4 linked regions of the Macaca fascicularis genome follow. The protein of the gene in region 3 purifies or fractionates together with the protein of the main gene of each other region. This does not show direct contact. Links are inferred from orthologs where the notes say so. Each region holds a gene or a part of one and is shown on either strand. Other genes may lie near its edges.

Evidence for each region.
Region 1: the proteins of SNX9 (region 3) and DNM1 purify together in Homo sapiens (co-immunoprecipitation; 6 studies listed by BioGRID and IntAct, counting the BioPlex papers as one, with this or other methods). This does not show direct contact. The link is inferred for Macaca fascicularis from reciprocal best matches to the Homo sapiens genes SNX9 and DNM1.
Region 2: the proteins of SNX9 (region 3) and SYNJ1 purify together in Homo sapiens (co-immunoprecipitation; 3 studies listed by BioGRID and IntAct, counting the BioPlex papers as one, with this or other methods). This does not show direct contact. The link is inferred for Macaca fascicularis from reciprocal best matches to the Homo sapiens genes SNX9 and SYNJ1.
Region 4: the proteins of SNX9 (region 3) and DNM3 purify together in Homo sapiens (co-immunoprecipitation; 3 studies listed by BioGRID and IntAct, counting the BioPlex papers as one, with this or other methods). This does not show direct contact. The link is inferred for Macaca fascicularis from reciprocal best matches to the Homo sapiens genes SNX9 and DNM3.

What each region holds. Positions count from the first base shown.
Region 1 is NC_088389.1:15,777,560-15,781,817, reverse strand, and holds the start of DNM1 (dynamin-1), read left to right. Parts: upstream 1-1,409; 5' UTR 1,410-1,501; coding exon 1,502-1,662; intron 1,663-2,213; exon of another isoform or gene 2,214-2,486; intron 2,487-4,258. UniProt on the Homo sapiens protein: Catalyzes the hydrolysis of GTP and utilizes this energy to mediate vesicle scission and participates in many forms of endocytosis, such as clathrin-mediated endocytosis or synaptic vesicle endocytosis as well as rapid endocytosis (RE).
Region 2 is NC_088377.1:14,231,803-14,235,365, reverse strand, and holds part of SYNJ1 (synaptojanin-1), read right to left. Parts: intron 3,263-3,563; coding exon 3,122-3,262; intron 2,827-3,121; coding exon 2,634-2,826; intron 1,764-2,633; coding exon 1,605-1,763; intron 1-1,604. UniProt on the Homo sapiens protein: Phosphatase that acts on various phosphoinositides, including phosphatidylinositol 4-phosphate, phosphatidylinositol (4,5)-bisphosphate and phosphatidylinositol (3,4,5)-trisphosphate. Has a role in clathrin-mediated endocytosis.
Region 3 is NC_088378.1:66,161,049-66,165,256, reverse strand, and holds the start of SNX9 (sorting nexin-9), read right to left. Parts: upstream 2,835-4,208; 5' UTR 2,646-2,834; coding exon 2,634-2,645; intron 1-2,633. UniProt on the Homo sapiens protein: Involved in endocytosis and intracellular vesicle trafficking, both during interphase and at the end of mitosis. Required for efficient progress through mitosis and cytokinesis. Required for normal formation of the cleavage furrow at the end of mitosis.
Region 4 is NC_088375.1:29,601,715-29,605,277, reverse strand, and holds part of DNM3 (dynamin-3), read right to left. Parts: intron 3,072-3,563; coding exon 2,922-3,071; intron 1,786-2,921; coding exon 1,582-1,785; intron 1-1,581. UniProt on the Homo sapiens protein: Microtubule-associated force-producing protein involved in producing microtubule bundles and able to bind and hydrolyze GTP. Most probably involved in vesicular trafficking processes, in particular endocytosis.

The sequences.
Region 1 (4,258 bases), on a different chromosome or scaffold from region 3:
GTAGGCTAGCCTTCCCTTCCTAGCCTCCGCCATGAATACTAATTAGGTTTCTTAAATGCAGAGGTGGATGGCTGGGCTCAGGGCCCCATGGTCTCTCCGTGTGAAAGGGTAAGCAGGGCAGGATTGTAGGAGGCTTGGATTTGAATCCCACTGCTTTTTTTTTTTTTTTTTTTTTTGTGAGACGGAGTCTCGCTCTGTCGCCCAGGCTGGAGTGCAGTGGCGCGATCTCGGCTCACTGCAAGCTCCGCCTCCCGGGTTCATGCCATTCTCCTGCCTCAGCCTCCTGAGTAGCTGGGACCACAGACGTCCGCCACCACGCCCAGCTAATTTTTTGTATTTTTAGTAGAGATGGGGTTTCGCCGTGTTAGCCAGGTGATCTCCCGACCTCGTGATCTGCCCGCCTCGGCCTCCCAAAGTGCTGGGATTACAGGGGTGAGCCACCTCGCCCGGCCGAATCCCACCGTTTTATGCTGTTTTACCACCATCCTAATGGGCTGGAGCAAAGACTTCCAACTCTAGGGCAAGAGCTTCCAATTCTCCCAAGAAGGGCCTTTCAGGCATCAGGGCCTCTGCACTTGCTGGTCATTCAGCCTGGCATGCTCTTCCCCCGATCTGCTTGCTGCTGGCTCCTTGTCATCGTTCTGGTCTCTTCTTAAATGTCACTTCTGCAGAGAAGTCCCCCGACTCCTCCCAAGTCAATGTGAACTTTCCACACCCACAATGATACCTTTTTTTCACACTGTTTATTTCCTCCATCCCTGTTACTATAAACTATTTTCATTTTTACTGTTTTGTGTATCTGCTTATCCATTTAGTGTCGATCTCACCAGCTTGATGCAAGATCTATGAGGGCAGAGGCCTTGGCTGTCTTATTCGTTGCTCAATCTTCCGTGCCTAGGACAGGGCCTGGCTTCTAGCAGGTACCTAGTAAATATTTGTTGAATTCATGCTCCAACTTTCTCCTTCTAGAAACAAGGAAACTGAGGACCAAAGGCAGAAAGGGACATGTTGGAGATCAGAGTCAGGATCTAGGGGTCGAAGGCAGCGAGGTGAAGGGGAACTCCAGGTCAGGAAGCTGTGACCTCAGAGGAAGCCCATCTACTCTCCAGGCCTCAGTTTCCTCATCGGTAAGATAGAGTGAAACATCCATGACCACTATCCAAGAGGCCTGGTACTAGGAGTGAGACCCCACCCATTGACAAATATATTCTGCGCAGCATCCGTCCGCGCACCCTAGACACTGCTAAAGCACCCCGAAAGCCGCAGAAGGTTAAAACTACGACACCCATGGTGCCCCGGGCGGCGCCTGCGCACGGCGGCCGGCCCGCAGCGTCGCGGGCTCCCCCTAGCGGCTTCCCGGAGCGGTGCTCGCTCCGATCCCCGAGGGGCGGGGGCCGCGCGGCTCAGGCAGTCGGGGCGCGAGGCTGCAGCGGCGGAGCCGGAGTCGGAGCCGGGAGCGCGAGCGGCAGCCGGATCGCAGCCTGCGGGGCCCGCCGCAGCCATGGGCAACCGCGGCATGGAAGATCTCATCCCGCTGGTCAACCGGCTGCAAGACGCCTTCTCTGCCATCGGCCAGAACGCGGACCTCGACCTGCCGCAGATCGCCGTGGTGGGCGGCCAGAGCGCCGGCAAGAGCTCGGTGCTCGAGAATTTCGTAGGCAGGTAGGCGCGGCGCGCCCCCAGGCGCCGACCCCCGACCCCCAGGATCCCCGGAGTCCCTGCCCGGGGCACCGACGGCGCGGCGACCTCGCAGCCCCCGACGCTGCACCCGCGGCCGGCGCGCCCCCCACCCCCAGCCGGAGCGAGGCGGCCCTCCCCACCTCGAGAGCCCCTCCGGGCAGCAGCGCCGCCCGCTAGTCTGCAAACGTCGTCAAGCCTCCGGCTGCCGAATCACGCCCCCTCCTCCGTCCCATCCTTTAGGGCAGACAACCCTCTGACAGAAGCCCTGGCCAAAGGGCTGCCCCCCGCCCCCAACATGGGCATGGAGAGAGCCCGCATTACTCAGCGCCTCCGTTGGGCTCCGGGAGTCCCTTGGAGCGGGCAGCACCCGGGGGCAGCGGCCCCCCCACCGGACTCTATGGGGGACATCCTCCTACCCCCATGGGAATTCCTGGGCCGTGGCAGGGGTCAGACCCCCACCCCAGTCCCTAAAAGAGGACGTAGTCCCGTGGGCATCGAGGACCCGGTACGGCCTCCCCCCGGCACACACACACCTCTGCGGCTCCCGCCGCCATCCGTGCGCAGCGCGGCGGAGAGGGGGAGGCGCGGGCTGCAGGATGAGGAAGGGAAGAGGGGAGGAGAAACCACTTCTTATCCTTCTCTGAGCAGCCGGCCCCTTGCTTCGCCACGGCCCCTGGGTGGGGGGCGCCTCTCAGTGTCGCCGTCCCCTTGGCCTGGCCAGAGGGATCGTGATGGAGGGAGAGGCGGCAGAGGGCAGAGATGACTAAGACCGGGATGGCGGGAGGGGGGAGCCATTTGCAGAACCTAATCCCCCTCCCGCCTCTGATCCCACAAGGCGCTGGGAGGCCTAGGTGGCGGAGAGGGGAGCAACCACAAAGACAAAGGGTCCTGGGATTACGGGGGCAGGGAGGGTCGTGACCCCCAGGCTCTCCCCAAACCCCCAGGGGGAGGAAGAAACAGTTTTTCTGGTGCTGAGGACAGAGAGGAAAGATAGGAGCTCTCCAGGTACTGGAGGTGAGATGGGGGGCTGGGCAGACTGGGAGACGAAGTGAGAGAGTTTACACTGACCCCCTCTTTCATCTCCCCCCCATCTTCTTCAGAAACCCTTGCTTTCTTCCAATGACCTTCAGGGCCAAAAAAGTGACTGGCACATGGGAGAGGGAGGCAGGGGTCCTTCTCCGCAGAGGGACAGCAATTCTGTCCAAGCCAGGTTCTGCTGCAAAACCTCAGGCAAGTCACTTGCCCTCTCTGAGCCTTAGTGTCCCCATCTCTAACATGGACAGTGGGACTAGATGGTTGTTCCTGCCCCTCAAATGTCCTGGGAAACCCATGCCAGCCCTAGAGGTGAGAGGGAGAGGGCCTGACTGGAGCCACGTATGTGTGGGATGTTGGAATGCCACCGTGGAGGCGGCCGTGCCCATCTGGTCAGCAGAGGGGGAGGCATCTGTCTCTCCGATGGCTCCTGCAGAACCCCCCTTCTGATCACATGACCCCCAGAGCTGCAGAGACCCAGGCAAGAGACACACAATGAGCCCCTTCCCCAAGGGCCGGCAGTCAGGGACAGCCAACAGTTTAGAGTGGAGAAACCATATTCCTACCTCTCCTCCTTTGAATGTTGGCTGAATTCCTGCCCCACGCCAGGCTGCGTGCTCCAGGCTTGGGGTAGGGAGGGAACCAACTGGTGATTTCAGCCCCCGTCTACTGAGTCCATCCTATGTACCCCCTATGCTGAATCAGTCATAGGCTCACAGGAGCTCCCAAGAGGCAGGCACCATGATGCCCATCCTACAGATGAGGAAACTGAGACCCTGGAGGTTAAATGCCTTGCCCAAGGTCACACATTCAGGAAGGGCAGCAGCTGTTAGACTCCAAAGCCCAGTTCCTAATCTCGACGCTGCACATCCTCTGAGAGCCGGATCCTGCACCAGACACAGGGACAAGCGGGTGGGTGGGCCTCCATTTCCCCATCTGTGGAATGGGAACGCTGACAGCCACTGCCCTGCCTTCCTGAGAAGGTGACTGTGGGCTCCACTGAGTTCATGGGTGGAAAGGTTCTTTTGTAAATATGCGGGACAGGGCGTTGATAGCCAATTAGGCTTGGGGACCTGCATGTCCAGCCCCTGCCCTCCTGGAGCCCATGATGCAGGGGCCAGCCCTGACCACGGCAGATTTCAGCAAGTACTTGCTGGCTGAGTGGCGGAGCAGGGTGTGGACTGTACCCCAGGAGGCCTGGGCCCTCTGGCTGCCCTCTGCACCCCAATGCCCTTGGCCAGGTCCCCACAGGAGGATGTGCAGGGTGTCCAGATGCAGGCTCAGGGCAGGGGAGGGGGCTTAGGTTGATGTGAAGGAGTAGGCAGGAAAGCATTCATGATCCCCTGAAAGCTAGTGAGAAGGCCAGGGAAACTGAGGCTCAGTGGGTTCCACCATCTCAGCCTGACAGCTCCTTCAAGGGCTCCTGACCTCTCCAACAGGGCTCAGTCCCCAGCCTGGTGAGCATAGTAACAGCCATTCTGTCTCCTGGGGCTTCCCAGGAGCCAATCCCCCACGGAAAATGCTTCAAAGGAAAATGCATCAGGGC
Region 2 (3,563 bases), on a different chromosome or scaffold from region 3:
GGCAATATTGTATAGCTAGAGAAGGAAAAGAATTCACTCACCCCATAGAACAACTTAGTTGTCTGGGACAGAAACTGTATAATGGTACCACAAAAACAGTCACTTGGTGGAGTTCAAATCACACAGAAAGGAATCCACTTAGTAAATTCCCAAAGTTGCAAACCATGTGGACCCACCCGGACTCCCGGGGAACTGGACAGCCCCCACTGGATTATACTGGATATGTGGGCATACAGCTTACGTCAAATTACCTGACCAGTGGGCAGGTAGTTGTGTTGGCACTATTAAACCATCTTTCTTCCTACTGCCCATAAAGACAGGCGAACTCCTGGGCTTCCCTGTCTATGCTTCCCACGAAAAGAGAAGCATAGCTATAGGAATTGGAAAGATGATGAATGGCCCCCTGAGAGAATCATACAATATTACGGGCCTGCTACTTGGGCACAAGATGGCTCAGGAGGATACCATTTACATGCTCAAGCGAATCATACAGTTATAAGCTATCTTAGAAATAATCACTAATAAAACCTGCAGAGCCTTGACTATTCTGGCCCAGCAAGAAACTCAGATAAGAAATGCTATCTATCAAAATAGATTGGCTCTCAACTACTTGCTAGCAGCTGAAGGAGGGGGTCTGTGGGAAATTTAACCTTACTAATTGCTGTCTATACATAGATGATCAAGGGCAAGTAGTTGAAGACATAGAGATATGATAAAACTGGCACATGTACCTGTGCAAGTGTGGCATGGATTTGATCCTGGGGCCATGCTTGGAAAATGGTTCCCAGCGAAAGGAGGATTTAAAACTCTTATAATAAGAGTTATAATAGTAATAGGAACCTGTTTACTGCTCCCTTGTTTGCTACCTGTACTTTTTCAAATGATAAAAAGCTTCATTGCTACTTTAGTTCACCAAAATGCTTCAGCACAAGTATACTATATGAATCACTATCGATCTGTCTTGCAAGACGACATGGGTAAGTGAGGATGAAAGTGAGAACTCCCACTAATGAGTGAAGTTCTCAAAGAGGGGAATAAGGCAGGAGACCACCCCTCATATTGTCTTATGCCCAATTTCTGCCTCCAAAGAAAGAAGAAGTAAAAACTAAAAGGCAGAAATGGAAGCCACAGGCAGACAACCCAGCACCGAGCTCTGGGCCTGGTAGTTAAAAATTAACCATTGACCTAACTGCTTGTGTTATCTATAGATTTCAGACATTGTATGGAAAAGCATCATGAAAATCCTTGTCCTGTTCTGTTCCATTCTGATTACCAGTGCATGCAGCCCCCAGTCACATACCCCCTGCTTGCTCAATCGATCATGACCCAGGAATTGCTCACTCGGGGAGCTCGGTTTTTGGAGACGTGAGTCCGCTGATGCTCCCAGCTGAATAAAGCCCTTTCCTTCTACAACTCGGTGTCTGAGGGATTCTTGTCTGCGTGCAGCTCATCCTACTATACTTTAAGGAAAGATAATTCTATTATCTATTTACCTACCTATAAATATTTAAGTATAAAAAGACCCCAAGAAAATTTTAAAACATCTTGATTTAAAAAGGCATGTTTCATGACCCAAAATCTTAATGCAAGAAGTATGGATATACCTGTCCAGCATTTTTCTGATTGATAAGTTGATCTCCTGCTATAAGAGAATCCCAATTTTGCTGTCTTATGAGCTCTTTAACTTCTTCATTAGGGAGATCAATTCGATAGTTGAAATCACCACACCAAAATACATAGTCATGGGAAAACAGCATCCTTCCCTGAAAGCAATGAGACAGAACTTTAAATTCAAAACAATCAATGTTCAAAAATGTTTTACAACTGTTTCTTTGCCTGAGATATGCTTGTCTCCTCCCATGTCCTGTTTCTTTAACCCAACAGTAATAACACATGTGAAAGGAAAATCAATCTCAGGACCCCAAAATCACTAAGCCCAGAGAAAAATCAAGCCAGGAACTATGACAGGTAAACCTGCCTCTCACTTTATTCCTAAATAAGATAGCTCCAAAGATAAGAAGCTACATACTCCCTCACAATTTGCCCACAGGAAATTCCTTGTGGACAAAGTATAGACAGAACTCAAAGTCATCCCTCTGAGACTCACCTGAGACAAATGCACATCTGCCTGCTTCCTCTGCCCTATTGTTTATGTAAAAATGCGGATTCACTGAGCCAGACTAAATTATGTATTCAGTGGAAGGCTGATCTAGGACTTAAAAGAATGCAACCTTTTGCCTCTTATCTACTTCTAACCTGAAAGCCCTGACTTCGAGTTGTCCTGCCTTACCAGACCGAACCAGTGTACATCATACACATATTGGCTGATGTCTCAGGTCTCCCTAAAATGTATAAAAGCAAACTGTGCCCCTGACCACCTTGGGCACATCTCATTCTGAATTCTGGAGGCTACATCATGGCCACGTCCTTAACCTTGGCAAAATAAACTTTCCAAATTGACTGAGACCTGTCTCAGATATTTTGGGTTAATATACATGAAATATCTATTTAGGTGAATATTCTTAATGTTTCTAGGAACTATCTTAAAGTTTCAAAAACAATGATGTAGAATTTGGGGCAAATTAAAATACATTTCAAAGCTTTATCTTCAAGAACAAGCAGCAAGAGCTTACCATAGGAAAACTCAATTTTCGTGCTATTTCTACAAAATCTTCGTTTCTTTCTTTGACTTGTGACTGTCCTGCAGCAAAGTGGCTACAGACAAAGCAAAGGCTGGTTGTATGGAAGAGCATTCGGATTGCAACTGCTCCCTTATTTCCAGTTGCACCTCCCATTCCAGTCTTCACAGTATCAACTGCAACATCCCTTTGAAACAAAGAATTCTAAATCGCAGATTTGAAATTTCAAGAGTTCCATGTGCATAGGAAATTAGGAATATACATAATCATATAAGTACACATGGTATGGTACTTTGAGGGCAAGCCTTTGAAATAGTACAGTGAAGCTATTAGTGAGTCTTTAATCAAAACCCCCAAAACCCCATTTTAAAACAAGAACTATAGATAGTTTTTGTTTGAAGAACTGAAACAATAAACATTCTAGGCTTTTCTTGTTATGTAATGGTAGGAAGTAGCCTTAGAGGAGTGTTCTGTTTACTGACCTGATAAAAGGAGCATGCTGTGGTCTGATAAAAACAAACAAACAGACGCCCACCAACTGTTCAGAAGCCAGCAGCACATACTTGTTGTCTCTGGAGATTGTCTTCTGAAGTTCTACAGCCCAGAGCTTCTGATTTGTTGTGCTACAAGAAAATATTAAAAAGAGAATTTTTTAAAAAGATAATTGACAGTAGCCTCTTTTATGACAATTGCCAATTACACCTTCATCTACCCAAATTTCCTAAGACTCTGAAGGAAGCTTAGGCTGTTTTTGTTTCCTTTAAAAAGGAAAATCTATAATTTAGCCAAAAGAAAACCACACTTCAAAATCTAATTTATTACTTCTTTACAAAGAAAATATAAAGACATTAAATGACTACTCACTGGGTGAGTAAACTCAAACTTATACATTTTACTTTTTCCTTAAGTATTCATTAAGATGAC
Region 3 (4,208 bases):
AAGAACAAACAAGAAAATTGTATCTGAAGATACTATAGCCAAGTTTCTGGTAAATTCAAAGGGAAATGAACATCCCCTAAAATATCCAGATCCTGAATTTACGTTTCATCACTTAATACTTACAGCAACAGCCTGAGTGCCACTGGAGCCATTTATTAAAAATTAGTCATTACTACTAAGCACATTCTCCCCACCCTTGAAGAAGACGAAGAAAAAAAACAGAACTACTCAGGTGTGGGGAAGGGGTGTGTATATGGGGCAAGTGAAAGTAGCAACTTGTCTCTCTGGGGACAATTAAAAAATGAGACTTTGGTTTGACCCAAGTATCACCAGGATGTCAGAAAACTAAGGAAGGGTCTTCTTCTAATAACTGCTTCATTGCTCTTCTTTTTCTTAAAATGGAAATGGTCTGTCACAATGTAGACATGGAAATGAGCACCATGTGGAACAGTGATTAGACAGCGAAAGAAACTAACAGAATTACTGGAATTTGCCTTCGGAGTGGTGTAGATAACGAAGTAGGAAGTGCTTATGCATGTTTTAAGGCTCGTGTTTAAGCAAAGACACATGCAATTCAAGATTAATATACAAGAACCACTTTTCAATTTTTTGAAAAAAAAATTAAGTTCAGGCTTAACTATGAAATAAAAATTTCACTACGTATACCTGCACTAGTTGCTAAACTGCATTCCACTTAAAGGACAGTACAGGTAACATGCCTCAGTAGACCGGAGTGTAAAAACACACAGACCACCACTGGACAGATCTCTATGTCATACACCGCCTTGGTTTTTTTTTTTTTTTCAAACGGAGTCTCCTCGCTCTGTAGCCCAGGCCGGAGTGCGGTGACGCCATCTTGGCTCACTGCAACCTCCGCCTCCCGGGTTCAAGCGATTCTCCTGCCTCGGCCTCCCGGAGCAGCTGGGGCTACAGGCGCGCGCCACCACGCCCAGCTAATTTTTGTATTTTTAGTAGAGACGGAGTTTCACCATATTGGCCAGGCTGTATGGAGCTCCGACCTCAGGTGAACCGCCCACCGCGGCCTCCCAAAGTGCTGGTATTACAGGTGGGAGTGAGCCGCCGCGCCCAGCCTATAAACCGCTGTTAAGGTTGCAAGATGAGCGTGTACTAGGATGTGTAACTGGTAATTTCTGGAGTGTCTGGCAACAAACCTCAAAATCAAATTTCCTTAGAAATCCTTGGCCTAAGTTTTATTTTTAAAAAGGTCAACACAAAATTAATAAGTTCAAAAGGTGGCAAGTTCTATCACATTAATAAAACCAAAGCACAGCACAGGCAATAATATATTAACAAGAAGGTAATTATTTCAGTAACAGCAGCAACAGGTTCCCTGGAGGAGAATCCCCACTTCTCTATAAACGCTGCACCTAGATGGATTCAGAGCACAAAATTTACCACAGGACAACATCTAGCAGACCGAAGTCAAGCAACGCTGATCTTTTAAACAGATTTCACATTTCTTACCATTTCCTACCTTAACACTCCACCAAAAAAAGCAAACACCTATCGAAATATAAAAAATAACGTTTCTAGCAACCCAAAAGTAGCTCAGAGATCTCAAAAAAAAAAAAAAAAATAGGGAAAGGGGTGCTGATGCTAATAAAGTGACACTACAAAAACTAAGTGCAAAAGTAAACCTACTCCTCACAGCGTATCACAGAACAGTTAATGGTTCAGGTACAGAGCCTCCTCCCCCAGGTCCTCCTTCCGCGACCATGACTCCCCAGTGACTATTTTACACCAAGTAACTACTGAAAACGCCCAAGGAAAAGAAGTGGGGGAGGGTGGCTTTTGAAGATTCAGGTAGCAAAGAGTGACTGCTAATTTCATAAACAATAATGCAAAACAAGCAAACCACCGCTCCTAGCCAATTACCAAGCAGGAGTCAAAGTTCCACCACGTAATTCGGGCCTGGGCCTTTTTTAGGCAAACACGTAATCGAAAGCACAGTCATTTCCCTCTTGATATTTTATTCATGCCGGCAATACCATTCACACTGAGAAGGTAGCAAAACAAAAGAAAAAAATAACAGCAGAGAAGGCAGAGGGGCGCGGGGTGTCCCAGCCTCCGTCTCTCCCCGGCCGCGAGCTCCCGCAGGCCGGGACGGGAAGCGCAGCGTCCTCTCTGCTGAGGTCTCGACCCCCACCCGCCCCACGGGGCCGAGGGTCCCCTGGGCGGCAGCGGGAGGGGACGTGGGGGCGGCGGGGACGCCAGACGCCGCGGGGACACCGGACGCCACAGAGAGCCTGTCGCCTCGGGGGCCTCCCCGGGCTGCGGGAAGTTTCCGTCCCGCTCTCGCGGCCCCTCCCGGCGAGCCCGCCGCAGCCCACGCTCAGGTGCAAACTTCCCAAACGTCGCTGCGCCCGGGGTCCCAACCCGCGCCCAGACCCGACGCCCTCCCCCGGCGCGATCCCGGCCGTCTGCACGGTCCGCCGCACCCATGCCCAGAAGGGACTGGCTGGGCCGCGGACCCGCCCGGGGACCCCACCGAGGACGCAGAGTGACCCCTCGGCCACCCCCGGCCCCAACCCTCCCCGCGGCCCCAGCCCCGACCGTCCCCGCGCCGCCGCGGGCCTGAGCGACCGGCCGGGCCTGCGCTGCGCGCCCCTCACCTTGGTGGCCATGGCGGGCGGGTCCCCCGGCCCGGGACGGCCGGCTTGTCTCCCGCGCCGCGGATGGTGATTCTGAGCCGCGCGGACGAAGGCAAGGGCGAGGGCGGCGGCTCCGGCTGGGCCCCGGCGCGGCGGCCGCTCCTGCGCCTCGGCCCCGAGTCTCGACGCTCAGGCCCAGCCGCTGGGCGCTCGGCTACTCCCGCGCCGCCCGCTCCTGCAGTTCCTGAAAGTCCCCGGCTGCGCGGCCCCCGCCCCTGCCGGCCGAGCCTCCCATTTACCGCGGCGCGCGCGGCGCCCGGCGGAAGCGCGCCCTGGGCCCTCGGCCGCGGCCCGGCCTCCTCGCCTCCTGGCCGCCCCCGCGCTGCGCCGCGCCGCGCCGCCGCCCCGGGCAGTCGCTGCCGCCGCCGCCGGGCGCCCTGGGTCGAGGACGGGGGCTGCGTCCCGCGCGGCGGCGGGATCCGGACAGGCGCCCCGGGCCATGGCCCGCACCCTGCGTGGCCGCCCCACGGGAAGCGCTCCGCGGCCCGCACAGCCGCTCGGGGGAGCCGAACCCGACTCCGGTTCACGCTCGGCCAGCGCCGCACGCCGTGGCTCGGGGCTTTCCGTGCATGAGGCGGGCGGGGGGGCAGGAACTCTCGACGCTCCCGGCAGACAGGAGCCCCGCAACCCCGCTGTCTTTGCCCCACGCCGGGGGTGTTGCGGGGTCGCCGTGCCCTTGGCCGAGTACCTTGAGTGCCACGTAAACAGCCGGGAAGGAACGGAGCAATGGCTTCCTGGGCCTCTTTCTCCTGCCCGGAGGCTCCCTCAGGCTGGGGTCCTGGCTTGGAGCCCCTGGGACGGGACGGTGGGGGGTTCGTTTTGTGACGTCCCATTAACCTCATTCTGGAATCTTGATAAGTTTAAAAATGCCCGAGGGCCCAAGAGGTTTAGGGGACAACAGGCTCTCTGAAGTGGAAACGAGGGCTCTAAAATTTTCCATCTTTCTGTCAGTGTTTCTCTCCAGGGTTGGAGATATATATATGGGTGTTATGAATAAACGAATGACTTGAATTGAGCAGCAAGATTTTTCGCTCAAGGACAAAACACAACTGGAAGATGTATCATAATTGGCATATTAGTGGAGTGCTTTTTTATTATGAGGGATATATTTGTAAGAAGAGACAACTATCAAATCTTCAATACTCTGATATTTAGAGTTAATGTCAAGTTTGTGTCTCCTTAAATACATTCTATTTGACCTGAGGTTTCACTAGTTACATTCAATAATGTGGTTTAAAATAGATACGGTATCGCAGAATTTTCTGTGAATTTTTGTGTTTGTTGAGCTCATGGTTAAGCTATAGTCATCATAATATGCATAAATAGTTGTCTTTCTCCATAAAAAAAGATGGAGGCCAATATTCATTGACAGCCTGCTTGCTAATATACTGGGCTTTTACATCCCCATCTCATTTAATCCTTATAAGAAACGTTTGAGAAGCTCATTATTGTCCACTGTTTACAAAGAAGAGCGAATCAGGGCTCACTTAAATAACTTGCGCTTTTGGTAATACTTACTCAAATCGAAAATGACCA
Region 4 (3,563 bases), on a different chromosome or scaffold from region 3:
CTCTTAGAACCTAACGATTGAGGAAGTCTCCTAACAAAATGGTCAACTCTCAGCACAGTTACTCCACGGGAAAACCCACTGGTCAATGAATCCCTCTCATGTACACAAATTAGCTTTTGGTGCTCCACTTTCATGCACGAACAAGTGGCAAAAGATGGACAAACATTTGAAAAAGGTCTCTAACATCAAAGACAGAAACAAAAACAAACAATCAGAAAACAATGGACTCAGACAATGTCGATTACAAAAGAAAACCTTCAAAAAGCTCTCACTAAAATCCTTGGAGGAAGATATTATATTTGTGAAAACAAGAACAAGATGCTATTTTTAAAAATAAAAATAACATTCACTAAGTAAAAAAAAATGAACTTTTAAAATGAATCGGAAAAGCAGAAGATAAAGTTGAGTAAATCTTGCTAAAAGTAGAACAAAAAGACAAGAAATAGATTATAGAAAAGAAAGATTGAAATAAAGGATTCATTCAGGAGTTCTAACCTGCTAATAATAAGAACTACAGATAAAAAGAACAAAGAAAATTGGGGCAATTAATTATGAAACAAAGAAAAATTCCTAAAATTGAAGTACATGCATCTCCGTATTAAAAGGGCACATCACTAAATGCCCTTCCGCAATCACTTTATTATTATTATGTTTTTTTTTGTTTGTTTTTGTTTTTTTGAGATGGAGTCTTGCTCTCTTGCTGTGTCGCCCAGGCTGGAATGCAATGGTGCGACCTCAGCTCACTGCAACCTCCTCTGCCTCAACCTCCCAAGTAGCTGGGATTGTAGGCGCCCATCACCACGCCCAGCTAATTTTTGTATTTTTAGTAGAGATGGGGTTTCACCATCTTGGCCAGACTGGTCTTAAACTCCTGACCTCGTGATCCACCTGCCTCAGCCTCCCAAAGTGCTGGGATTACAGGCGTGAGCCACTGCACCCGGCCCCGTGGTCACTTTAAACAGACACACACCGAGGCCAGCATTGAGGTCTCTGATGATAAACTGTCATTATTCAACTCAGAGAAATAAAAAGCTAAAACATCCGCCTAAGAAAGGAACTTTTCTGGATTTTGAGATGGCAATAACAAATAAATCCCTGCTTTTATATATATTGGTTCTCAAATAATTATAAACTAAATAATATCTTACATGCATTAATAGAGCTTCCTATTTTAAAGAAACAAGACAAAGAAAAAACACAGAAAGACTTTTCGTTGGGAGTATATGCAGGTAACTCATAATATTAGTAGATTGTCTGAATTCTGCTGTACCAGAAGTTTACTTTATCAACTTTTTAAAATACATAGCCCATGAGGCTTAGAAATGTCTATTTTCTTGATCTCATTATTCTTAGATTTATATAGGTTTTGACTATATAAATTTCATTATTTTAGTAAATCTTTACTAAATTATTTTTAATATTAAATACTGAATTTGTATTTAAAATACAAAAGGTTTAACAATATTAACAATGCCTAATTTATTTATAATGAAATCGAGTCTTGAGAATTTGTGTTACCTTTAAAGATACCAAAACTCCTGACACTTTAATTCCCTCTCATCTTAGTAGTCACACACTCACCTTGAGGATCAACTTCTTTAGCTAGCTTCAGCGCATCTGAGTTTGCAAGATCAGTATTGGCTGGAGTAACAGCTAAAATCAGACAGTTCTCCCTCGTGATGAACTGCATAATCATTTCTCTGATCTGATACTCAATATCTGGTGGCTGATCTCCCACGGGCACTTTGGTTATCCCAGGTAGATCAATAAGGGTTAGATTTAACACTGTGTGGAAAGGATAAAAGAGTCTTACATACACCTTCAATGCTAAAAGATAACACAGAACCATTTGTCACTTAGCTCAGCTTTCTACATTGTGTATCTGAACAACTCAAACCCATGTGTGAAGAATAAAAAGCATAAAATAAAAATGGTTTTGCTAGTTTTCTCTAATTTTATGATATGATTGTGCTATGCCAAATGATCACTTTAACATAATTTGAAAGGCACTGATTTGCATGCCTAACAGTTTGCTCAGAAAGCTGTCATATCTGTAACTAGGGGGTTATAATTAAAACACCAAACGAAAAATGCATATGCTGTCTGCCAGTCTTGTACATCGCCTTCAAGTGGTATAAAAACTCGCAGGGTAAGATTTGCCCTTTCCTTAAAAAGTATCATATGTTTTTTATAGAAAGTTAACCACTTAGCCTAGTAGAAAGCTGTTAGCCATTCGTGGTGCCCTGGGTTTACTGAATTAGCTGTATGAACAGAGTCAGCAACAACATGACTCTAGCCCAACCTCTCTGTACAAATAATGTTGGCACCAAGTACCCTTGGGAAGTCCTAATTGAGCTTATGTCATTTATATTCTGTTTTAAAAGCAATAGAGCTAAGTAGGGAATAAGAAATGAAAATTTGCCCACTAAAAATTTAGTCAGCATAGAGGCTATTTCCCATCACACCTTATGGATTGGTTATCTAATTTATAAGTTTCTACCGATAGTCTGGGGGGAAAACTCAGAGCTGATTTCTCAGGAAGAAAATAAATAGGACTATATATGGCTGCAAGAAATCCAATAGGGGAGGATGCAACCATAGTAACATGTACCTCTAAGATTTCAGCAAAGACTGAAAAATGGAAGTTTTCATACATACCCTTCTCAAATTCTAAAAGCTTATTATGAAAATGAAGAAAAAATATTTAATGACTAACTCAATTCTGTTTTTATTAAAGTCATCTCCTCCTCCCTCTCCTTAAATGTTCTAAGAGCTCTTTGAACCATAACATTAATGGGCAGTATCCAAAGGATACCCTAGAAAGCCAGCACTGTTTGTATCTTCTGTACAAATGATGTATGTTAATTAATGTAGTAAAAATGTTTGGGGAGAAGAATTTGGAATTTTATTATTTTACTTACCATGTGGGGAATAGACTCGTAAATTAATGGGTATGGAGGAAATGCCTTTATTCATTCCAGTCACGCGATCTGTTTCTGCTTCAATCTCATGCCGAACTTCATCAAAATCTGTAAATTTCTTTCCTTTGCAATGTAGAAACTCAGCATATTCTACAAAAACAAAACCAAAATGACACGACTTAAATTCATGCATTTTTGCCATATTATAAAAAATGTTTCTTTAATTATAAGTCAAATTATCCGATATTCTCTCTTCATCCCTCATGAACATCCCACAGAACACAGTAGTTACTAAGAATCACAATTAATACTTCAGAAATATTAAACATAGTACAGATGCTATAGATGCTAAATTTGCTAATTTTCAGTTGAGCAATTAAATACTATAACCAGTCCCTAAAGCACAAAGCCTATTAAATAATTTAAAGAAAATTTTGGCTGTCCAAATGACAAAGCAAACAACAGCACCTGATTGTTAAAAACATTAGATCTAGGATACCACTGAGTTCTGTTAGCATTTCCCTCTTCAGTATCACCATTTCATCAGGATGGAATGCCAAGTTATATAAATATATCTTCAGAAGGTAAAATAAGTTAGGGGGAATCATTTGATTAATTTGTTAAAAATAAATAATATATGGA